3 linked regions of the Kluyveromyces lactis genome follow. The main gene of each other region encodes a partner of the protein of the gene in region 3 in a complex. Links are inferred from orthologs where the notes say so. Each region holds a gene or a part of one and is shown on either strand. Other genes may lie near its edges.

Region 1 (6,867 bases), on a different chromosome or scaffold from region 3:
CCATGCAAACCAAATATTCACCCTTGGCTTCATGGAAACCCTTCAAGACAGCGGAAGAAAGACCTCTTTCGTCGGTTCTGACGATGATTCTGACGTTGTAACCTTGCTTCTTCAAAGCCTCAACTTCTTCCACAGAACCGTCCTGGGAATTGTCATCGACGAAGATCAATTCAGTGATATTGGAACCTTCTTTACCCAAGGCTTGGAATAACCTGGTGGTCAATGGCTTGATATTTAGCTTTTCGTGGTACGCTGGAACAACAACAGAGTTTTCAATAGACATTTCTTATAGTATAATCTTATGTTTATTTCTTGAGCAATTGGTATAAATATATCCGGTCTTTATTAGTTATAGATAATAGCAGTCAAAAGGTTCCTGTTTCCCCAAAGAAAATATAACAGCGTGTGATTTGCTAACAAAGCTCGACTGGGTACTCTAATACAACTAAACAAAAACAATACTTCAAGTATTAACTACAAGAATTGTCAGGCATGTTTCTTTATATGTTTCTCTTTTGTAACTGTTAAAATATTGAACATGTTGTCCACTTTCGATTTTTGGACTTGAGGAAGGACAGACAACATCGGGTGAAAAATGAGGTGTGTGAGCCTGGTACATGTGACAGAGGCAGGGTAATGAAATTACTAGGACAGCGACAAGAGAAGCTATTATTCATAGAACGAACGACAATTTAGGATTATGCTACCGTAGTCTGCAAGGAAACTTCTAATAGGTATTTGGGATAGAGAGGGATTAGTGTAGTTATTTGTGCGTTTATATGTTTTATATAGAAATATTACTATTAAGAAAAGAGCCCATATATGTGTGTAATCTTATTCATCGACGTACTCTCCTGTTCTTGAAAGCATTTTCACTGCAGAGATTTAACGTCATTTCTGAATCTCTTTTCAACAGCATCCAAGAATTCGTCGGTGTTCACATAACTTGATCTGTCAGTGTTACCACAGGCAAGGGCCAAATCTTTGGTCATGATACCGTCTTCTTGGACAGTGTTCAAAGTGGATTTTTCCAACAAGTTGGCAAATTCGACGACTTCTGGAGTGTTGTCTAGTTCACCTCTCTTGGCCAAACCTCTAGTCCAAGCGAAGATGGAAGCGATGGAGTTTGTTGAGGTTTCTTTACCCTGTTGGTATTGTCTGTAGTGTCTAGTGACGGTACCGTGAGCAGCTTCACTTTCGAAGGCCTTACCGTCTGGGGTCACTAGAACAGAGGTCATCAAACCAAGGGACCCGAACCCTTGAGCAACGATATCGGATTGGACATCACCATCATAGTTCTTAAACGCAAGGATGAATCCACCCTTAGATTTGATCATTTGGGCAACCATATCGTCAATTAAACGGTGTTCGTACCAGATACCCAACTTTTCAAATTCGGATTTATACTCGGAATCGTAAATTTCCTGGAAGATATCCTTGAATCTACCATCGTATTTCTTCAAGATAGTGTTCTTGGTGGAAAGATAAAGGTTCAATTTCTTGGTGATAGCCAATTTGAAAGAGGCATGAGCGAATCCACGGATGGATTCGTCTGTGTTGTACATGGCCAAAGCGATACCAGGACCCTTGTAGTCGTAAACTTCCAAAGTCTTGGTCTCGGATCCATCAGTTGGCTTGTAAACCAATTCCAACTTACCAGGACCTGGAACGACAAGATCGGTGGCCTTATATTGATCACCATGGGCATGTCTACCGATGACAATAGGTTTTTCCCATCCAGGCACTAATCTTGGGATTCTAGGAATGACAATTGGTTCACGGAAAACAGTACCACCAAGGATGTTTCTGATGGTACCATTTGGTGATTTCCACATCTTTTTCAAATTGAACTCTTTAACACGACCCTCGTCCGGTGTAATAGTGGCACATTTCACACCAACACCGTATTTCTTGATGGCATTAGCAGAATCCACAGTAACTTGATCGTTAGTGGCATCACGGTTCGTCACGGAAAGATCGTAATACTTCAAATCCACATCCAAATATGGTAAGATAAGTTTACTCTTAATCTTATCCCAGATAATTCTAGTCATCTCATCACCGTCCAACTCCACAACGGGAGTCTGAACTTTAATCTTGCGCAACCCAGTTGCAGCAGAGCTGGAAAACTGACGATTAATACTCATCACTGCGGCCTTCATAGTGTCCTGTCCTGTCCTAATTCAATTTAGCTCAGTATACAACAACCGTCGAATATACCAACCTTAACCTGACCTAAAGTTATAAGGATACAGAAACTTTATAGCGCAGAGACGCAAATATACATGCATATATATATAATAGACTTAACCTCATCACTAATCACAGTTAAAAGCCAAAATATCCTTCTCAAAGCAGTGATAGAAAAATAAAGCGAATAGCTATAATAGAAATGATAGAAGAGTCATTCATATAACTTACTTAGGGCAATGGCAATCGCAGTACTTTTGTAGTTGCAATGAGAAGGTTACCGAACATGGAAGTAGCGGGTTTGTAATATTTCAGAGCCACGATTGATGCAATAATTTTGGGGGTAGTAAACTGCCCGAAATTTGTTTATTTGCTAGTAAGTCGCCGTTTTGGGCTCTGTTTTGGGGCGCTTTTGCTAATTTGTCGTGGGGAACTTCGTTACCAATGCGACGGTTAGGCTTTGTGAGACGAGAAAAAAACCGGATCAACTCGGGATTCAGGATAGACAGCGAAAGCTTCGTACTTTTCCAGTAGTGGTGGTTAATCGGTGATATGAATTGGGTGTTTGGTAGGACGCGAAGGCAGGGCCTGAGCCGGCCATGAGTCAGGGACTGGTTTTGGCATTGGCTTTGGATTTGTAGCGTGCGTCTTCCCTCCTATATACCCAATGATCATGTCAGCAATACTGGAGATGATAGCGGGAATTAATCCGTACACCACGTGACTTCCTTAGTGTCACGTGGTTTGTGATGTATTTCTTCTGTTTCCGGGTGACATTTTTTCTCGTTGGGTTTGGGAAATTGATTTCGGCGGCTAATTGTATATTTCTTACAATACAGCCATTGTTTGTATCATTTCTTGAAACTGACCAAACCCTCAGTTAAATACTTCCAAAACTAAGTTAGTAGTACAACCTCTCTTCCCATTTGAGTCTAATGTCTCCGCCAGTTGATTTGAATCAGATATGGGTAAACTGTTCCCAATGCCATAAACCGTATAACAACCAGCAAGGAACAAGCAATGGAAAGTTCTGGCTCACATCATGTGCTCATATCCTTTGTGATAAGCATTACCATAATGGAATGACGGTTTGTCCCGTGTGCACGACGAGTAGAATATCAGTACTTCCGTTAGATGGTGATAGTTCCAAACTACCGACAGAAGTGCAATCGTTCTTTAAACCCTTTGTATCACAACTGGAACCATTATACACAGTAGCTAATTTCCAGTGGGAGTCAATGGTGCAATTATGTGAATACTATCAAGATATGTGTCTGAAGTTACAGGAAAAGTGTAACAGACAACGACAGCTGTTGTACCAGGCAAAGGAAGAATTAGACAAGTTTACTGCTTTGAAGAAGGAATTAAGAATGAAGGACACCAACAGAGACGTCATATCGATGGTTACTAGAAATGACTCCAGAAATTTAATAAACGCAAAGGATGGGATTGAGCGTGATAATCAAGAGTCGTTCATCAGTAAACTACAAAACTCTCACCGATTGAAACCTTCACGGACAACTTCAGATGATGGAAACGAATCTCCAAATATTTCACACGTTCTTGCTGAATCTACGTCAATTGGAAGAACGGCACCAATATTGGTACCGCATTCCCCAACAACACCAATTTCAATGAACAATAAAAGCGGTTCTAACATTAATAACACGTTCGGCGCCAGATCAAACTCACGACAAGGAGTCACGAAAGCATTACCGAATGCATTGGAAAGATTGAAATTGAAAAGAAGTAGCACTTCAACGATATCATCAAGGGGAATATTATCACATATGAGGATTAACTCTTCTCAAACTACAACGGGATTCCCGTCGAGGAATAACACCACGGCACAATCGAGAAACAATAAATTTAAGAAATGATTAAATATTTGTCAGTTGATAAATAAGCTGATTTTGACGTTTTTTGAATTTCTGTTAATTAAAGACCTATACGTTTAAATTTAAACATATTGATAAAAATAAATGATGTTTCTGACAGTATTTCATGTTGATAATATAGTATTTCTTTGAGCTGATAGTCGGAAGATAGAAAAAAATGAGGGAAACGATTGAAGACTCCCGGTGAAACTTGATTCCAAATCCACTTATCTCTTGTGCTATTTTTCTTTTAAGATTATTATTAGATCTCACGAACGGTCCAGGAGTATGATAATGTTAATTCCTTTGTTATCTGTTTGTGATTTTTTGTTTGCATGAGTCTCGTCAAAGTGTCGATGAAGTCACTAATTTCAACTTTAGCTTCAGATTGCTTCGAACCGTTGCTTTAGTTTTTGATTTCGACGAGTGCAGGTATACATCACTCTCGAGAGATAAATAAATGTGAAATGAAGAGTTGAGTAATATTCTATTTTGCTGTCTGGTTTTGGTTATTGTGATGTGCTTGGTATTTTCTTTAAACCTCGGACTGACTATTCATTATTCATCAAGTAATAGAATAGAATATGTTCGCCGGCTGGCTGCAATAGTGCGGACATTTGCAGATGGATGGAATGTGTAGCAATGATGACATGAAAATAAAACGAAAATTATTGTGAAAGGATACGATATAACAAAGAGGGCAGGAAATTTATTTCTATCCACTCATTTAGAAAGCACCAAACTTCTTCAATTGCACGTAAGAAGAGATGAATGGAACAGCAAAACCTAGAGCAAAGAAACCGAAGTGGATGAAAGCGTATGGGATCTTTCTGTTGTGAATCTTAACTGGGATGTTCGAGTAAACACCTTCCTTGAAGTGGGCACCACATTGCTTGGAAGTGGCAGAGAAGGCTCTTCTGGTGGCTAGTCTGGTAACTTGGGAAAACATGTTTTGATTGGAATATTTGCTGTGGTATTGGACGCTAGGTTATCGAAACAAAGTTATTAATATCAACAATAAACTATAAACCATCCTTAACAAGAGTTGTAAATTGCAGTGCTAATTGTATTGAAATATGAAAAAAAAAATAATACGATATATTTTTTTTACCTTTCTATCGCTGCTAAGAAGAGAAACAGGATTAGGAAAAAGTCGTGCAATAACAAAAAAAATTGACAGAAGTGGGAAAACGGCTCAGAAAGTAGTGAGACACAAACGGAGTATCCGGGTAATGGTGTAAGATTTCCGACTTTCACTCTTAAAGCAAAGCTCTGCTGTGTCTTCGTGGAACGTGATTTCCCCGTGTACATATTTTTCTGAATACAGACACACTCACGTCGAATCCTGGGATATCATTGGCTAATGGGAATTTCGGTTTTAACGCGAGATCCTTTCTTGTCTACTTGTACTAACTACACTAAGATGATAAGAGGCACATGACCTGCGATCAATGGCTGCCCCAGAGTTTCTCTGACGGGAAATCTTCCCTCTTTGCCAATCCGGTGCTGTCAGTATTAGAGGAAGAAAAGCGATACCTCTCTCTTGGCTATATTGATGGGCAACCGATAGTAGGTTCTACCGGAACCTACTGAGAGTCTCAATCAGATATTGTCTTGAAAATCCACACTACAGTATGACTCGGTATTACTGGAGTTCTGAATGTCAATTCCCTCTTGGTGACAGCTTGAAAAATCGAGAAACTTTAAAAATTAAAAAAAATTGAAATAAACTTACCTGGCTCTACTATCCATTACAGGTTTTGGTTAATTTTTTTTCTAACTGTCTTCGGTTCTTTACTTTAGTCGTATGGTTTTTCTGATTTTCTTTTACTTCTTGAAATTTTGATATTTGATTAGTACTTTGTATATCTTTCCTCTGTCCCCTCTTAGTGTTGACTTTAGCCTTTTTCATTAGCTGTTGCTATCCTTAACGGTTTGTTCATCTCACATCAATCACTCTCACTTCACATCAAAGAATAATGTCTGCAATTGCTCCAATCACTGGTACTATTAGAAAGAGAATCTTGGCCGATATCACCATCGGTTTCGCTATTGGTGGTGCTATGGCTTCCTATTGGTGGTGGGGTTTCCACAAGAACATCATCAACAAGAGAGAAGCTTACTACGCTAAGTTGGCTGAACAAAAGGCTGCTGAAAACTAAGGACTGAATAAAAAAACGCAATACTTTGTGTTTTTCTATCTAAATCAACATATTCGTGTGCGGCCATGAGGTTTGAAACCTCTGTGTCCATAATACGGAGAATTGTATTCGATCCTTTTTTTCCTCCCAATTACCTATCGTTACTATAACATCCCACAACCTTTTATTTCTCTATTTATGTCAACACATACACAGATTAACAGTCATTCTGATGAATTATTGGTTAAAAATCATTAATGGTATTTTTTTTTATTCGGTACCCTTTTATCATGCTAATACGTTCTCATATTATGACTTCTTCTCCTATCAGTATTATTATTCATGAGTGGAAGCAATACCGCATCTCGACTGTTTGTTTTTTCTTGGAGGAGTTACTAAACAAAGACTTAAGGATTTCATGTGACCTTTTGTCGATTTCCAAAGAAGGTGATTGTCTCTGTTAAACAATCTTATTTTGCAAATAGGAATACTCTCTGGTTTGTTACCTTATCGCTGGAAGTAATTCCTAAGAGATTCGATAGAACCTTACGCTATATGATAAAAGACGTTCAAAAAATAAACAAAAAACATTACTACTATTACTAAAAAAAATAAATGAATTACCACTCAAATCTTTCCAATAGTTCATAGATGGATCT
Region 2 (7,308 bases), on a different chromosome or scaffold from region 3:
CTCAACGGTTATATTTTTGCCCTTTGCATATTTGTTGATAGCATTCACCAATGCGCTGCGGCGCTGATAAGTTCTCAACTTGGGTAATTTAGACAATTGACCTGCACCATGTTTCTCCTCGAAATGCAAGATCTGAAGCTTTGTATCTGTATAAAACTCGTGGTAAAGGTCATGGACGCTTTTGGGACAATCTGTCATTATAAGGTGATAGTTCTCAACATTGTTCAGATCTTTTGCGCCGAGAGGTCTGATTTTGCTCGAGTGTTGTGATTTCGCTACCTTGTACCTTGATGGCATTTCTCGCGATGCGTTCTCCGCTTCTCTGCTGAGACTACTGAAAAGAATTTCATTTTTAAATTCTTCTTTGAAAACTTTTGGCCCTTCCGAAATGTCAGCTTCAGTCTCATCAATTCCAAGTAGAGGTAGAGGATCTTCATTCTCTTTATTTACGTCAAAATCCACTTCTTGTTCCTCGGTTAAAAACTGGTTATTCATATCCAAATCATGAGCTAAAAGATGTGTTTTAATGATTCCTAAATCAACAATAATCCCAGTATGCTGTTGTTGTATTAAATCTAACTTAGATTTTAACAGGGCAATTTGACCATTGACACTTTGACACTTGCTATTACACACTGCGTCGCATAAAACGTTCCAATCAGTTTGTAAAGTGTCTACTCTGCTTTGGAATGTATGAATTATTCGTTCAATATTCTGTGGCATCTCATTTGATTCTCGGCGTCTTCGCAATGCAATCAAAACTTGAAAATACTAATTGATTCAGATGTAAATAATAGTGTATATACTAAACTACGAATAAGCACGAATAACAGAGGTGATGATGTGAAAGTTTGTGAAATCTGTGGTTTATATAATATTTGACATATGTTTAATATAGTAATTAAATCTTTTTGTGACACTTTTATTTTTCGTTTTTCCTTTTCCTTCACTGACTGCATGGACGCACCAGTCCACACAGAAAAACCAGCAAACCTAAATGTGGCACATCAGAAAAGTTGTTCGAGCGGCGATGGGTTTGCACCATCCAAACAATACTAGGAATAACGTTTTCCTGCTGGTTCGAAAACGCACTGAATTTAACTACTGTTATTCTTTTATGAATTGCAAAGTATCGATGCTATCTGGAAAATTTGAGTACAGATTAAATACATTTTGTAGGGAAAACTATCATTGTAGGAGCGGTGACAGCCGTTAAATCTATGCTAAATGGGTAAGTTTTAAGACGATATTTGTGAAGGATAGAAATTAAGAAAGAGGAATGAAAAAAAACGCGATACTCCTGTACCTCTAATTTTTTACGTTTTTATTCTTTGTCTTTTGTCTTTTAGCGCTGGATTTTTGTTCTTTCGTTTGCTCTTTCTTTTGTTCTTCTTGCTCTTCTTCTGCCTCGACCTCTTCCAAGTTTCTTTTGGCTTGCTTAATTTGCGTAGCAAACAAGGAGTCTAGTTCGTCTGGATTTGCAATTTCTAACAAAGATTTCTCAAATTGTGATAGTTGCAATTCGACACCATCAATTTCTATGACATTTTGAACGGAAGTCTTAGCATCATGTCTGGACCCAACCAATTTGTCTAATACTTCCAAATTAACGTATAATGGAAGGACTGGTGATTCGTTAGATTTGAGAAGAATGGTTCTGATATTGTACTTTTCGATGAACTGTTTAGCGACAGAAATGATATTTTCAGTCAATTGTTCTGGGGTGAACCATTCCAATGAACCTAGATGAACATTCATCGTGTTACCTCTTGGAAGTTTGACTGGGATTTTAGTATCATAAATTCTCTTGATGCTATTTACCAAAGTTGTCTTGTTAAACTTGTTATCCGATCTTGTGTTAATGGCAATTGGAGTGGTATTCAACTTACTGTATGCTTTACCACCTAATAGCTTGGGCAAAGCTGTCACTATCGAGTCATCAGCTAGAATGAAAGAAAAATCCTGTACAAATGCACGCCTCTTTTCAAAAGCCTTGTATTTTGTCTTCAAATCTTTACCAGATATGATGGCATCAATAGTAATATGTTCTGGAAGTAGATCGATCAAGTCTTCTGATGTCACTGAATTGATATCAGAATCTTTTAGAATCAAAAGAGTCTTGAAATCTTTAACCATGGTGGTGCTAGCTTCCTTCCATGGCTTGAAGATAGAATGAGGAACTGTAATTAGTTTTGGTTTGAAGTTTTTCAAAGAACCAGTAAAAGATTCAGTGTTGACTAGGATCAACTGTAGCTGAGCCTCCAATTCAGAATCATCAATTAACTGATTGTCATTTGATCCATTTTCCTTCAAATATTCTTGCAATTTAATAACAGCATTGTTAACTCTGTTAACTGGAATGACTTCTTCCTCTTTACTGCCCTTAGTAGCCTTGGTGGCTTTGGTCGAAACCTTGCTTTTCTTAGTTTTAGTTGCCATATTATCTAAACTTTGATATTGCTTATAATGTGCTTGTAGATATACTAGACTGGATGAGTGGAGTTATTTCCTCTATATTCTGGATTCTTTCCAAGCGTTTTTTAACTTACTTGATTCGCACTGTCTCAGAAAAAGATCAACAAATTGTTGGTTCACCTAGGTAAGCTTACTTCTCGAGTTCGTACTGGCAACTATGAAATATCCAGTATATATCTAATCAATCCTTTGAGCTGAGAAATAAGAATAGGTACTTAAATACTTTACATACCATTACTTTATTAATCGTGTTAGGTGTGCAACATACTTCGAGATGAGATGAGATGAGCTATGATGAGATGAGCTCTCTATTGTCAAAAATAAAAATTTTCTGTTTCGCAGGAGCTCCACTGTGTTCACGTAGTTAGTAAATATTGCTTTTTGAAAGCGAAGGCCGTAATATATGATTTGAAACTTTTCTTGAAATTTGATAACATTTGACACTTAAGAAATAAAGAGTAACCGAATCTGATATTGAATCTCGGTGCGTGTTTGTGCAAAAGTTACTAATGAGCAACGGGCTACGTTCAGTGAATGGGGTTACAATACAAAAGGGCTTAAACTGTGTATTTTAGGGTTTCTTTCTCTGGTTTATTTCGGAACAGTACTATTTTTGAGTTAGGTTTTTTCGGCTGTCAAACAGGACTCACGATCGATATAAAGGATACCTTAACAGAGAATACGCCGCACGAATCTGATTTATGAGTTATTAAGTTGCTATTATTATTATTATTATTATTATATCGTAAACATAGTCATCGTCCCCGTTCATTTATACTGCAAAAGGCATATTAGCATATATTAATCAAATCTAGCCGCAGGGGTAAGCATACGCTCTCACAAGACAAATAAGAAGAGCATTAGACATGGGTAAGAGAAAGAAGTCATCCAGAGGTCCAGCCAAGAAGATAGTACAGAGGTTAGATACGGCATTCAATTGTCTCTTCTGTAATCACGAACGCTCTGTGAGCGTAACAATGGACAAAAAGAATAACATTGGCTCGCTTCATTGTAAGATTTGTGGACAATCGTTCCAAACCCGCATTAATGGTCTATCACAACCGGTAGATGTATATAGTGACTGGTTTGATGCGGTTGAGGAAGTTAACGAAGGGAAACATAGCGAATCTGAAGATGAAAACAGTGACAGTGACTACGAGAGTGACTCTGATACTGAGCCTTCTTCAAACCGTAGAAAAGCTGTTGGAATAGATTCTGACGAAGAAGAAGAAGAAGAACAAGAAGAAGACGAAGATGCGGATTACGGAAGAAAAGGAGCGACCGAACGAAAAGACTCAGAACCAGAATCAGACTCAGACGATGACGGTAAAATATCTAACAAAAGAGGAAGAGCAGCATGGATGGACAGTGATGACGAGTAGTCGAACCGACAGAAACACAGACATCGAACACCAATATTAATCTTACAATTGTATCTATCTATCTATATATTACCCAGAGATATACTAGTAGAACGAATAAAATCAGGTATAAAGGAGCTGATATTTACGTTCAAAGAGATTGCTGGATCTTATCTGTTTCCTATAAGAATTTATATAACGCTCACCTTGGCTTTAACCATCGGTTGATAGTATTCAGTTTGTACTGCAGAAGAATTTATATATCAATTCTACATCAATAATAGTATCTTTGGTATATCGAACTTCTCAGTAATGTGGCATTATTTCTGAACTAGATGGTGATACACGAGATAACAAAACTCGAAAACTTCAGTTGTATGAATTCAAACAAGATAAAATTACTTCTGCTCGTAACGGTGCAATAACCTAACATACGATCAAGTGAAAACAAAAGAGCACATTTTTCTGTCTACCGCTAAATAGACTAAACGCGTATGTTAATAGCTGTTTGTTTGATATATAACTACTTTTCCTTATAATTTAGTCAGTATAACATATATATAATTATAATAATTGTGATGATGATGATAATAATAATAATAATAATAATCTTGATTTTATTTGAATTGTTTGTAAATGTTTCTTGAAGGTTTGTATTCACGGTTCTGTATATGTCCTGGCAAATAAATAATGTCTTCGTATCTGCTACTACCAGTAGTCAGCACCAAAAAAACCTCCTCAAACAAACAAATGTGTGACAAGAATATATGGTGTCATAGGATGGGACACGTTCGTAAATATAGTTTTTGATGATATTTATTTTGGTTTCATTTGGTTGTTGGTGTTGTGGATAAGTATTGTTCTTTCCTTCCTAGTGAAAGGTTCTCAAAAAGTGAAAATAGTATGGGAGAAGATGATAAAGCCGGTGACTTTAGATTAAATGTTCTTCTATATGCACTTATTGGAACAATTCCTCCTTCAAAGGAATTCCCAATTCTTCTCTAACATCCTTCAATTCATCCAAGTAAGCCTTGTATTGATCTTCGTTTTCAACTTTGTATCTCAAGGCTTCGAACACTCTGACAGCAGTTGGCAAGTCGTTAACCTTTCTGGCGGCTCTCAAGGCCTTTTCGATAACAGCTGGGGCTGGAACCAAATCGTAAGAGAAACAGTTATTCAACACTCTTTGGACTTCGAATAAATCGTAAGCCTCTTCGAATTCCTTTTCGTATCTGGCGGTGAATTCTTCAAAGGTTTCTTCTTCGTGTGCATCGGAGTACTTTCTGATAGAAACAAATTGAGATTGTAATTGACCAACTCTTGGGGCAACAGCAGCTCTCATCATAACCGGAGCAACGGCTCTTACTGGCATAGCAGCTCTCAACAAAGTTCTGGACAACATATTTTTCTTTGTATTGGTTGATTCGGGATTTGGATTTGATTCACTGTATTAAGATGATCAAATAGCTATTCTAAAAGGAATTATAACAAACCGTATTCACAAAAGATTCAAAGTCGAGTTCTATTGTAATTAAAACTTAATGTAAAACGCTTTAAAGATATATCAAATAGGTTAGGTAAAAGGTAAATCGACCGATAATTTTCTCTGGAGTTTTTTTAAAAATTTGAAGTAATGAAGAATGAAAAAAAAAAAATTAAATACTTAAAATCGCATAGGACAAATATCAACAAACAGTTCAAATACTTAAACTAGTGGATAGCTACGTCTTTGAACTAGATAAAAACGAGATTGTTAAAAGGAAAGTAAGAGTAATAACTTGCGAAACGAATAGCACAAATTTGAACCTCGAGTGAGTCGTTCCATTCGAAACAACTTTTATTGTATCTTATTCTTTGTATGCATCATCTTCTTAGTAGTTTACAAAAAAGTGGTATTATCAGTTTTTTAAATAGTGTGTCTATGGAAAATGGATGGAAGAAAAAAAGAGGGCTAACATAATTCATCGGCAGAGTTGCAACAAAAGTTCACACTCCAAAAAATCCTACATGTGGTACTTACGAGCAAGTCGTTTATCTAGTTCGATTTTAATTATTTGAATTGAGTATTTCTTGACTTTCTGCTGCCTGTCATTTTTCAGTCGAGCGATGTCAGATTAAAGATCTCATGTTCAAAGGAAATGAAACCTTAACTCTCATAATCTTCGAAATAATGTCCTATAAAACAAGATAATAAGTCCGTGATAATAAACCCCACAAGCAGTATCTATAGAATCCAATAAAACACATTCGTGAAATATGCTGGGGGGTAATGGGCATTGATTGAGACTGGTCCGACCGTTCTGTAGGGTGTCTTGTTTGTGGGGAAGGAGAACGTATTGGCATATGATTGGTTCGTCACCGATGATTTTTACCACATAGTCGGGTAATAGGACAGCGGGAGAACGTGACTTCAATACAAATACAATTACCCGGAAGTCGCGTGGTTTCAAAGGTTTTTTTTTTCTCGGTAGGCAGGTTCCCCTGTTCGATCCCTCATCTCCGCAGAAAACTGCGGGTTATTATGTCTCTAAACGCGATAGTTAATCCTCTATATCGTCAAACGTTGAGATAGGTGGCATCGCGGTCTTGATATGTTGCATCAAAGCCGTATGGTTTGGTTCAGAGTTTGTAGACCCCTCAACTATTATTCGGGTATGTCCATTGTCAAACACTTTTCGAACAGCAGGTTTTGAATCATCGTCGATACCTGCACCAGCCTCTTCATGTCCCGTGTTACGATTAGGCCATTCTTCAAGCCTAGAGTAATCAAATCCCGGAGGAGGTGACGCTGGCGGAGACACTAGAAATAATGTCTGGGCAGGGGGAACTTTAAGGTGATTCATCACAGTGTCAGCGCCAGCGTGTGGAAATCCAGCTTGTGAATTCGATTCAGCCACGTGATTCGTGATGGAGAACCCAAATTTACAATCAGGGAATAATGGGTTCAAGGATTTCACTTCACGGCTCGCCTCAATATTAGGCGATGTTACCAATATTCTCTTGAATCCAGGAAGTGTAATGACACGCACGGCATCCGCACCGTAAATCTGTCGAGTATCCACCACACATTCTTGCACCTTATTTACGATCTCATCAAACAAGGGCTTGGAGCACACGTCCTTTGTCTTTGACGTTATTATTACAGTATCAGTAGCAAAATCATCATACGTTGCCATTCCAAAGAAGTGTATTCAGTGTGAGTGTAACCAAAGTTCGCCGCTATTTGTGCATGTCTAAGTAAACACTTAGTATATGTAAGTAGTAGATTACGTAGTTACTGAAGAAAGTGAATCGATCTTTACAGTGAAATATTGAAAAAAATATTGAAACAGAAAATCACTAATGCATGAGATGAGGTGTGTTCAGAATAACATTACGTGTAATTAAGTTACGCTTGATTCAGTTTGAGATTTATACGTTAGAATTAATTAAAGAGACAGAAGAATATACAGAATGCCTCTCACTAACGTTA
Region 3 (11,312 bases):
AAAAAGAGAGCGAGGAAAAAGATATATAACGATTATAAATAAAAAACTAGTGTCTTATTCTTAGAGTTAAGTACCACTTCGGATATGAGGGATAATAAGAGGAGGGGGGGGGTTTTTTTTTTTTTTCACCCTCCCCCCCCCCCCCAAAAAAAAAAAAAATGATAGTACGCTACGAACTATTTTTTTAAAAAAAAAAAAAAATCCCCCCCCTCCCCCCTGATGACATTGGGCTTGTACTTCATATTATTAATAGTCGTCATAATAAATAAATATATCTAGGACACATTATAATATATTTGACGGGGGGCTTTTTAGGATATACTTGGGGGGGTGCCACGGGTAGTTCTAATTCCCCGGCAATCCTATTTAGGATTGCCGCGGGCAATACTTATAATAGTATTATATTAATATTATATTATATATTTATTTATATATTTAATATAAAAAAGGTAAGAATATTATTGTTTAAAGATATTCTTATATATTGTACTGATGAGTTATACACCTCATCAGTAGAATACAATATATAAGAATAATCAAATGATATCTAAAATATGGCAGTACAACACTGTTGTTTCATAACCTACATGATGAGTAGCTGTTAAATGATAGTTTCTTAATCTTCAATAATTAATACCTAACATTGCTGCTAACATAACCATATGTAAGAAATGTAATCCTGTACCAGCATAGAATACTGATCCATATACACCATCAGTAATTGTGAAAGTAGCATTAGTATATTCGATATATTGACAAGTAACAAAAATAACAATTAATCAGAATGTAATTAATAATCCTGATAATGCATTTTTTCTATTACCACCTACTAATCCATGATGACTATATGTAATAGTAGCACCTGAAGATAATAAGATAATAGTATTTAATAAAGGTAATTCTGTAGGTTGTACAGCTTGAATACCAACTGGAGGTCATACACCACCTAATTCAATATTAGGGCTCATAGCTGAATGGAAATAAGCTCAGAATAATGCAGCGAAAATTAAAATTTCTGATACTACGAATAATAAGAAACCTAAATTAATACCTTTTCTAACAGCAATTGTATGATCTCCTAAATATGTTGCTTCAGCAATAATATCTCTAAATCATAATGTAGCACTTAATGTTACTGTTAAAATTGATAAATAAATTAAATACATATGTCCAATATATCCATGCATAGTTAAAGCTAATGATAATGCTAATGACATTAATGCAAATGATACTACAATTGGTCATGGTGATGGAGCTACTAAATGAAAGGGAAATTGTTGATGTCTACTTCTTTCTAAATGTGTCATAAATATTTTTATAATCTATACATTTATAAATTTAAATGTTAATTTAATTTATAGAAATAATATTACTTAATATATATATATAATATATATATATATGATAATATTTATATTTTAATATAATTATTATTATATTATACTTACTTATAAACCCCATTGCGGACTCCCCCCCCCCCGAAGGGAGGAGTCCGCAATGGGGAAAAGTTAATTATGAAAACTATTTATATATAGTATATTATTAGTAATATTAAATATATATCTAGTATCGCCAAATACCCCTATAATAGGGGTATTTGGCGATTAATAATTATATTATTATATATAATAGATCTATATAAATAAATACAATTCCCCGGACGCCTCGTCCGACCCTACGGTCGGACGATGGCGTCCGGGGTTTATATATCGATTCCCCCCAATCTCATAATATGAGATTGGGGGGGGGGGAAATAAAATAGATTATCTCTTTAATAATAATTATAAATAGAATATATTATCTTACCCCGCGGATCCTCTACTGGTATTACCAGTAGAGGATCCGCGGGAATTTATCTCTTTCCCGCGATATCATCATATGATGATATCGCGGAATATACATAATTTATAAAATATATAATAAATATTTTATTTTATATTTATAAGTAGTAAATATAATAAACATGTTAAATTTTTTAATAATTTAATAATAATATATATATAGTTTTATATATATATATTATACGATCAATATATATAAATAAATATAAATACAATGAATAAACATACAACAAATTTAAATATTATTAAAAATATTAATAATATAAACAATTTAAATTCTATAAAAGAATTATTATTATTATTAAATAATAAAAGATTAAATAGATCTTTAAATAAAACTTATATTTGAGATTATTTAAATGAATTAAGTAATAAAGGTGTAAAATTACAACATTTAAATAATATTAATTCTTGATCATCTCAAATTTATAAATTTAATAAAACTGAAGAAATTAATAATACTATTTATGATAGATTAGTAACTAAATTATTAACAAAATTATTAGTATTAAATATTAATAATAAAATTTATAAATTAATTATTTCTAAACCTATCTTTGAACATAGTATTAATAAAGTTAATATTAAATTTTTCTATTATTTATCATATAAAAATATTAATAAAAATATTAATAATAACAATAATTTAATTAATAATATTTATAGTAATTATAAATTTAATATTAATAGTAAATTAATTAATTTATTAAATAATAACATTAATAGTATTAGTAATATTTTATCATTATATTATAATAAAGATGTATCATTTGAACCTATTCAATTAAAATATAATTATATGAATAGTGATATTTTAGCTAAATCATTAAAAATTATGAATTCATCTTCTAAAAGAAGTTTATCAATGAATAGAATTAAAAATTTAATGAATAATATGCCTAAATTAAATGATAAATTAATTAGTCAAACATATATTAATAATATTAATAATATTATGTTTAATAAATATAATAATATTATTAAATCAATTAATAATAATAATAATAATAACCCCGCGGACTCCTCTCCTGGTAATCCCAGGGGAGGAGCCGCGGGGAAATTATATAATATTATTTATGAAAATAATAATATTAATACTATCCCTAATAATATTTTAATGTTTAAATATTTAGTAGGATGATCAATTCAATTAAAAGGTAGATTATCTAATAATAAATCTATTTCTAGATCTAATACAATGAATATTTTAAATGGTACATTCCAAAACTATAAATATATTTGAGGTAATCAAATGGTTAATAATTATAAATTAAATTATATCCCTGTTAACCATAATATTACTAATATTTCTGATGTTAATAAAAATGGTAAATATAATATTAAAGTTAAATTAAATACTATTTAATTTATTAATTAATAATAATAAATAAATAATCAATATTCTTCCCCCACGCGGCATTACCCTAGGGTAATGCCGCGTGGGGCTTCTTTCTTTATATTATAATTATATAATTATATAATATATAATAAATTAATATATACATATAATCCCCCCTTCATATTATATGAAGGGGGGGGTAAAAATATAAATATTTTATAATATATAATAAATTAATATATATCTTTCCCGCGTTCTCCTTACTATTTCCTTAAGGACCTCTAAATACTAATAAAAATTAATTTTATATTATTAATTTTATATATAAATAAATATATAATATACATTTTCCCGCGGGGTATAATACTTATTATTAGTATTAATAATTTATTTATTTATTTATTTATTTATTTATTAATTTATTTATAATACTTTTCCCGCGGACTTATTCCCTGGAATTCCAGGGAATAAGCCGCGGGGTGTATAAATAATTTTATATACTCTTCTCCCGGGGACTCCTTCCCATAAGGTGTATACCTGGGAAGAGTCCCCGGAGTTAATATAATTAATAAACCCCACCCCCTTTAAGGGGGGTGGGGAGGAATACGCAATTGGGGGAATTTATAATAATTATTATATAATATTATTATATAGATATAAGTAAGTATAATATTATTATAATAATAATAATAGAGATTAGCTTAATTGGCAGAGCATTCGTTTTACACGCGAAGGACATGAGTTCAAATCTCGTATCTCTAATATATATTAAATATATCAATTAAAATATAAAAATTTAATAATAATATATCAATATACTTATTTAATATTATTATAATTATTTATAATAATTTATTATTAATAAGTTTTTTTCCTAATTGCGAACTCATCAAAACATTAGTTGGATGAGTTCGCGGGAGAATAATATATTAATCAATGTAATATCTAATATATAGAATATATATAGATTAAAAAAAATTATAAATATGTTTTATTTATTAAATTCAATTATTATGAATGATGTACCTACACCTTATGGTATGTATTTCCAAGATTCAGCTACACCTAATCAAGAAGGTATTTTAGAATTACATGATAATATTATGTTCTATTTATTTATTATTTTAGGATTAGTATCATGATTATTATTTACAATTGTAAGAACTTATAGTAAAAATCCTATTGCTTATAAATATATTAAACATGGTCAAACTATTGAAATTATTTGAACAATTTTCCCTGCTGTAATTTTATTAATTATTGCTTTCCCTTCATTCATTTTATTATATTTATGTGATGAAGTTATTTCTCCAGCAATGACTATTAAAGCTATTGGTTTACAATGATATTGAAAATATGAATACTCAGATTTCATTAATGATAATGGTGAAACAGTAGAATTTGAATCATATGTTATTCCTGAAGATTTATTAGAAGATGGTCAATTAAGATTATTAGATACTGATACTTCAGTAGTAGTACCTGTTGATACACATATTAGATTTGTTGTTACAGCAGCTGATGTTATTCATGATTTTGCTGTACCTAGTTTAGGTATTAAAATTGATGCAGCTCCTGGTAGATTAAATCAAGTATCAGCTTTAATTCAAAGAGAAGGTGTATTCTATGGACAATGTTCAGAAATTTGTGGACAATCACATTCAGCTATGCCTATTAAAATTGAAGCAGTTTCATTACCAGCATTCTTAGAATGATTAAATGAACAATAATTATATAATTTATAATTAATAAATTATATATAATAATATTCTTTCCCTGCAAACCCTACAATATTATTAGGGGTTTCCCCACGGTCACCTTCCCGACCCACAAGGAGACGGGGATTCTTACTTATTTTATATCCCGCGGATTCATGTTATGAATCCGCGGAATTATTATATTATATTATATTATATTATATTATATTTTTAAATATAATAATAATTATATATAAATAAGAGTATAAAAATAATTTATTGATCTCATGCTATACTCCCCCCCCTTCCTGTCGCACACGATTGGTGCGCAGATATTGAAGGGGGGGAGTAGGGAGTAATAAATTTAGGATAACCATTATTATAATAATTAATTATTATAATAATATTTTTCCCCCGCGGTCTCTCACCCTACGAATGTAGGGTGATGAGCCGCGGGGTAATTCTTATTTATTATATATTATAATATTAATAATAAACCCCCGCGGACTCCTTTAAAGGAGTCCGCGGGAAAAGTATTATCCGCGCCTCATCCATTATAAAGGATGAGGCGCGGATTAATATACATATATATATTTTAATATAATTATATATTATATTTATTTATAATATTATTATTTATTATATAAAATAATACTAATGAGGGGGGCTTATTTCCCACCATATGGTGGGAAATAAGCCCTACCTAATATATTTATTTATTTTTTATTATTAATATAATTAGAATAATATTTTTCTTTAAGAGGCTTATTATATATTAATAGAATAATTATTCCGACTATTCACATAATATCTATTAAATTAATTAATATAACCCCCGCGGTTCCTCCCCACCCCTTTAAGGGGGGGGTGAAACCGCGGGGAAATGTATATTTTTACCGATCTGCATAGTAAATTGGTAAATTTATATATTTTTATATATATAAATTATATATAAGTAAGATAAAACTTATTTATCCCCCGCGCTCCCTTCCCATCCCATAAAGGGATGGGAAGGAGCGCGGGGGTCAAGAATTTATCTATAATTATATAATTATAATAATAATTATATATAACTAATTAATTAATTAATAATAAAAAACATAATGTATATTACATACTAATCCCGCGGCTCCCCCCCCCCTTCAGGGGGGGAGCCGCGGGTAAATATAACTAATAATAATAGTTTATTATATTATATATTTTAAATATAATATAATAATTATAAAAATAAATTAATGATCGAAAGATGATTATATTCTACAAATGCTAAAGATATTGCTGTTTTATACTTTATCTTTGCTATTTTCTGTGGTATGGCAGGTACTGCCATGTCTTTAATCATTAGATTAGAGTTAGCCGCACCAGGTAATCAAGTTTTAAGCGGAAATCATCAATTATTTAATGTCTTAGTAGTTGGGCATGCGGTCTTAATAATTTTCTTCTTAGTAATGCCGGCATTAATTGGTGGTTTTGGTAACTATATGTTACCTTTATTAATTGGAGCATCAGATATGTCTTTTGCAAGATTAAATAATATTTCATTCTGATGTTTACCACCTGCTTTAGTATGTTTAGTAACTTCTACATTAGTAGAATCTGGTGCAGGTACTGGATGAACTGTATATCCTCCATTATCATCAATTCAAGCACATTCAGGACCTAGTGTTGATTTAGCAATTTTTGCTTTACATTTAACATCTATTTCATCATTATTAGGTGCTATTAATTTCATTGTAACAACATTAAATATGAGAACAAATGGTATGACAATGCATAGATTACCATTATTTGTATGATCTATTTTCATTACAGCATTCTTATTATTATTATCATTACCTGTATTATCAGCAGGTGTTACAATGTTATTATTAGATAGAAACTTCAATACTTCATTCTTCGAAGTAGCAGGTGGTGGTGACCCTGTTTTATACCAACATTTGTTTTCTATGCCATTTTATATAGTAATTTATGATTATAAATATAATATTAATTTATGATTATCTTCATTTAAAAATTTAGAATTTAATCAAGATAAATTTTATTTTGATGAATTTAATTTAAAATATAAAGAATTTAAACCTATAAATTCTGTTCCTGATCAAAAATTTTTAGAATGATTTGTAGGATTTTTTGAAGGTAAAGGTTCATTTATTTTAATAAAAAGAAGTGATATTTCTGTTGTTGTAACTTCTAAAGATATAAAAATTTTAAATTATATTAAAAATAATTTTAATATAGGAGATGTAATTTTACAATCTAAAAAAGATATAACATATAGATGAGTAGTACATAAAAGAAGAGATATTTATTTATTATCATTAATTTTTAATGGTAATTTAGTATTACCTACTAGATATGGTAAATTTATAATTTTTTTAGCTAAATTAAATGAAAAATTATTAAAAAATAATGAACCTATAATTATTTTAAAAAATTATTGTAAATTACCTACTTTAAATGATTATTGATTATCTGGATTTACTGATGCTGAAGGTTGTTTTGATATTTCTTTAAAAGATAATAAAAATACACCTAGATTTTTATATGCATTAAGTCAAAAACATATTGTTAATAAATATGTATTAGAACATATTTTAAATTTATTTATTGATAAATCTAATACTAATTCATTATATAACATTAATAGTGAAAAAAATATTGGTAAAGTTTATTCTAATTCTAAAGATGATAATTGACAATTATGAATTTCAGGATTAAATAATTGTATTTTTATTTTAAATTATTTTAAAGAATATCCTTTATTATCTGATAAATCTAATAGTTTAGATAAATTTATTCATGTAATAAATTATTATAAACAAAATAAACCTTTAAATGAAGAACAAAAATTATATATTAAAAAAATATCTAAACCCTGCGCGACATCACCCGACCCTCATAAAGGGTTGGGTGAGTCGCGCAGGGAATTAATTAATAAATAATCATATTTTATTAGTATAAATAAAAAATATTGAAACAAAGGAAATAGTTTAACTTAAGTTAATTAGAAAAGATATAACAATGTTGATATGAAAAATAAAAAGATTATATCTCTCTTAATATATATATATAAATTAAGAGACTAAATATTTATTATTCTCTTATTCGGACACCATCCAAGGGATTTACCTTTTTTAATACCCCCCCCATATCTTCTTCCCAGCTAAGCTGATAAGAAGATATGGGGAGAAGAGATAAATATACTATTTTCTAGTATTATATATATATTATATAATGCAACATTGGTGGTACGGTCAACAATTTCTCAGATTTAGACCGTCGGTTATAATATATATAATTATATATTCTGATCGCTACAGACTGCTTCACCAATGGGTGATATAATAATATTGCTTAATGTACAGTCGGAATCACTTATTAATAATAAGGTCATATATTATATATGAGATATATATTATAGAGTCTACCCGTGCTATTATCAAAAATAATATTTGGGGAAAAGATAATATATTATTTAGATTTGGATTCTTTGGTCACCCCGAAGTTTATATTTTAATTATTCCTGGATTCGGTATTATTTCACATATCGTATCAACTTATTCTAAAAAACCAGTATTCGGTGAAGTATCAATGGTATATGCTATGGCTTCAATTGGATTATTAGGTTTCTTAGTATGATCACATCATATGTATATTGTAGGATTAGATGCAGATACTAGAGCTTATTTCACATCGGCTACAATGATTATTGCAATTCCTACAGGTATTAAAATTTTCTCATGATTAATAAACTCCTTTAGCAAGAGTATTAAGTTGATCAAAAAATATATAAAATATATATATATTAATAATAATCATAATAATAATAATAATAATAATAATCCCCGCGGTCAGTCACCGGTTATCGGTAACATGACCGCGGGGATAAATAAGATTTATAATAATAATTCTTATAATTCTTATAATAATAATAATAATTATTATAATAAAAAATTAACAATTTATGGTACTAATTTATATTCAAATTTAATAAATAAAGAATATAATAATACTATAATAATTAAATATATAATTAAAATTCCAAATAATATTATATATATAATTAATGGAATTTTATTAACAGATGGTTGAATTGAATATAGTTCAAAAAATACATTAATTAATAGTAGATTAAAATTTAAACAAACTTTAAAACAAGTAGAATATGTTTTATATGTATATAATAAATTAAATCATTATTGTGTAAGTCCTCCAAAATTAATTAAAACACCCCGCGGCTCCTCCCCTGGTAATCCCAGGGGAGGAGTCCGCGGGGAAAGATTAAAAGGTAAAATTTATTATGGAGTTGAAATAACTACTATAGCTTTACCTTGTTTTACTAAATTAAGACATCATTTTTATAATGGTAGAGTAAAAATTATACCAAATGATTTATATGATTTATTAAATTATGAATCATTAGCTCATATTATTATAGGAGATGGTTCATTTAATAAAGGTGGAGGTATTACATTAAATTTACAATCATATACTATTAAAGAATTAATTTATTTTATTAATATTTTAAAAATTAAATTTAATTTAGATTGTACTTTACATAAACATAAATCATATTATGTTATTTATATTAAAGTTAAATCTATTAAATTATTATATCCTAATATTAAAAATTATATTATTCCATCTATAAAATATAAATTTGAATATAAATTATTACAAAAATATGATAAATATAATAATAAATAATATAATCCCGCGGATTCATAATATGAATCCGCGGGGTAATATATATAATCTATATAATATATATATAATTTATATATTAAGAAGCAAACTCGAGAGAAATCCTATATATATAAATTAGAATTTATATAGGGCAATCGTCGAACTAAATTATATATAAGAAATTATATATATAAAAGCGTAGAGATCAGATGCTTCTGGTATTTCTAAGTAATATATTCCCCGCAAAATATTTCCTGCAGGAAATATTTTGCGGGTCTATTATATGAATACATAAGGAATGATCCAATGGAACTAGTAATAGTTTTGAAGCAATCCTTCAAATAATATATATATGTATTATATATATATTATCCTAATATATATAGTTACCCAATATCCTCCAAATATTTGGAGGATATTGGGATTAATAATAAATAATTATATATAAATTTAACTAGCTATTATAATATTTATTATAAATATTATAAATGAATCTGTGATGATTTAAGGTTAAAAATAAGAGCAACAATTTATGGTGGATCAATTAGATTAGCTGTACCTATGTTATATGCTATTGCTTTCTTATTCTTATTCACAATTGGTGGATTAACAGGAGTAGCATTAGCAAATGCATCATTAGATGTAGCATTCCATGATAAAATAAATATTATAATTATTATATTATATATTTCATATATTTATACTTATCCCTTCTCTAATGGGAAATACTGTAATTTATATAATCCTACCACATTTTATAAAATTAATAATATTTTATACTCTATTAAAATATATAATATTAATAATAATACTAATAATACTAATAATAATAACCCCGCGGACTCATCATCCTACGAAAGTAGAATGAGAGCCGCGGGGAATAGTAATAGTAATAGTAATAGTAATAGTGATAGTAATATTAATAATACTAATAATATTAATAATACTAATAATATTTATAATATTAATAATAATATTAATAATAATAATAATATTAATAATAATTATATTAATAATAGTATTCCCTGCGGTTCATATCCACAAGGAAGATGAACCGCAGGGTCAGAATTCTATAAAATGTTATTTGTAGGATTATTTGATAGTAATGGTAATATTCAAATTAATAAATATAAATCTAAATATTTACAATTTAGATTAATTATTAAATTAAATAATAATAAAGAGAATATTAATATATTAAATAATATTAAACATTATTTAAAAGGTAATATTAATATTAATAATAATTATGTAATATGAATTATAAATGATATAAAAAATATTAATAATTTAATTAAATTATTTAATAAATATCCATTAATAACTATAAATAAAAAATTACAATTAGCATTTATAAAATCTATATATTATATTTATAAAAATAATAGAAATTTAGCAATAAATTTATATTTAAAAGATAGAAATAATAAATATAATCCTAATTTATATAAATATTATAAAGATATAAATTATACTAAAATTAATTATTTTTCCCCCGCGAACTTCCATAAAAAGTTCGCGGGAATTAATATTAATATTAATATTAATAATAATTATAATCATAATTATATTAATGTATGATTTTTAGGTTTTATTGAAAATAAAGGTAAATTTATTATTAGAAAGAATAATAATAATTCATTTTTATTTTATATAAATGATAAACATTTAATAGAATTCTTAAAAAATTATTTTAATATTAAGAATAAATTAATATATAAAAATAATATATATATTTTAGAGGTATAT

Evidence for each region. Proteins that work in one complex are often made in the same cells at the same time.
Region 1: the proteins of COX1 (region 3) and COX8 are in contact, whole or in part, in a cryo-EM structure (PDB 6T0B), measured with the Saccharomyces cerevisiae proteins. The link is inferred for Kluyveromyces lactis from reciprocal best matches to the Saccharomyces cerevisiae genes COX1 and COX8. Residues at the interface, in NP_009305.1 of Saccharomyces cerevisiae: Met1, Gln3, Arg4, Trp5, Val16, Leu17, Met20, Ile23, Phe24, Met27, Ala28, Ala31, Met32, Leu34, Ile35, Leu48, His49, Asn51, Leu54, Leu58, Thr117, Leu118, Val119, Glu120, Ser121, Gly122, Leu401, Gly402, Leu403, Phe466; in NP_013499.1 of Saccharomyces cerevisiae: Val28, His29, Phe30, Lys31, Asp32, Gly33, Val34, Tyr35, Glu36, Asn37, Ile38, Pro39, Phe40, Val42, Lys43, Tyr49, Ala50, His53, Phe54, Phe56, Phe57, Ile59, Gly60, Phe61, Val63, Pro64, Phe65, Ala67, Cys68, Val70.
Region 2: the proteins of COX1 (region 3) and COX6 are in contact, whole or in part, in a cryo-EM structure (PDB 8DH6), measured with the Saccharomyces cerevisiae proteins. The link is inferred for Kluyveromyces lactis from reciprocal best matches to the Saccharomyces cerevisiae genes COX1 and COX6. Residues at the interface, in NP_009305.1 of Saccharomyces cerevisiae: Asp496, Phe497, Val498, Glu499, Ser500, Ile503, Leu506, Asn507; in NP_011918.1 of Saccharomyces cerevisiae: Leu66, Phe67, Gln70, Leu73, Asn74, Arg106, Glu109, Ala110, Tyr113.

The regions. Positions count from the first base shown.
Region 1 is NC_006038.1:298,739-305,605, reverse strand, and holds COX8 (cytochrome c oxidase subunit VIII), read right to left. Parts: upstream 5,017-6,867; coding exon 4,795-5,016; downstream 1-4,794. Other genes in the region: DPM1 (dolichyl-phosphate beta-D-mannosyltransferase), read right to left, coding at 1-283; isocitrate dehydrogenase (NADP(+)) IDP1, read right to left, coding at 873-2,162; SUMO ligase CST9, read left to right, coding at 3,126-4,070; COX9 (cytochrome c oxidase subunit VIIa), read left to right, coding at 6,047-6,229. UniProt on the Saccharomyces cerevisiae protein: Component of the cytochrome c oxidase, the last enzyme in the mitochondrial electron transport chain which drives oxidative phosphorylation.
Region 2 is NC_006042.1:2,031,827-2,039,134, forward strand, and holds COX6 (cytochrome c oxidase subunit VI), read right to left. Parts: upstream 5,239-7,308; coding exon 4,795-5,238; downstream 1-4,794. Other genes in the region: KLLA0_F21824g (transcription activator GCR1-like domain-containing protein), read right to left, coding at 1-723; CIC1 (Cic1p), read right to left, coding at 1,309-2,439; ELF1 (Elf1p), read left to right, coding at 3,342-3,857; TMA22 (Tma22p), read left to right, coding at 7,290-7,308. UniProt on the Saccharomyces cerevisiae protein: Component of the cytochrome c oxidase, the last enzyme in the mitochondrial electron transport chain which drives oxidative phosphorylation.
Region 3 is NC_006077.1:28,534-39,845, reverse strand, and holds the start of COX1 (cytochrome c oxidase subunit 1), read left to right. Parts: upstream 1-6,112; coding exon 6,113-6,821; intron 6,822-8,361; coding exon 8,362-8,623; exon of another isoform or gene 8,624-8,624; intron 8,625-10,084; coding exon 10,085-10,220; exon of another isoform or gene 10,221-10,221; intron 10,222-10,223; coding exon of another isoform or gene 10,224-11,312. Other genes in the region: COX3 (cytochrome c oxidase subunit 3), read right to left, coding at 498-1,307; VAR1 (ribosomal small subunit protein), read left to right, coding at 2,041-3,207; COX2 (cytochrome c oxidase subunit 2), read left to right, coding at 4,140-4,910. UniProt on the Saccharomyces cerevisiae protein: Component of the cytochrome c oxidase, the last enzyme in the mitochondrial electron transport chain which drives oxidative phosphorylation.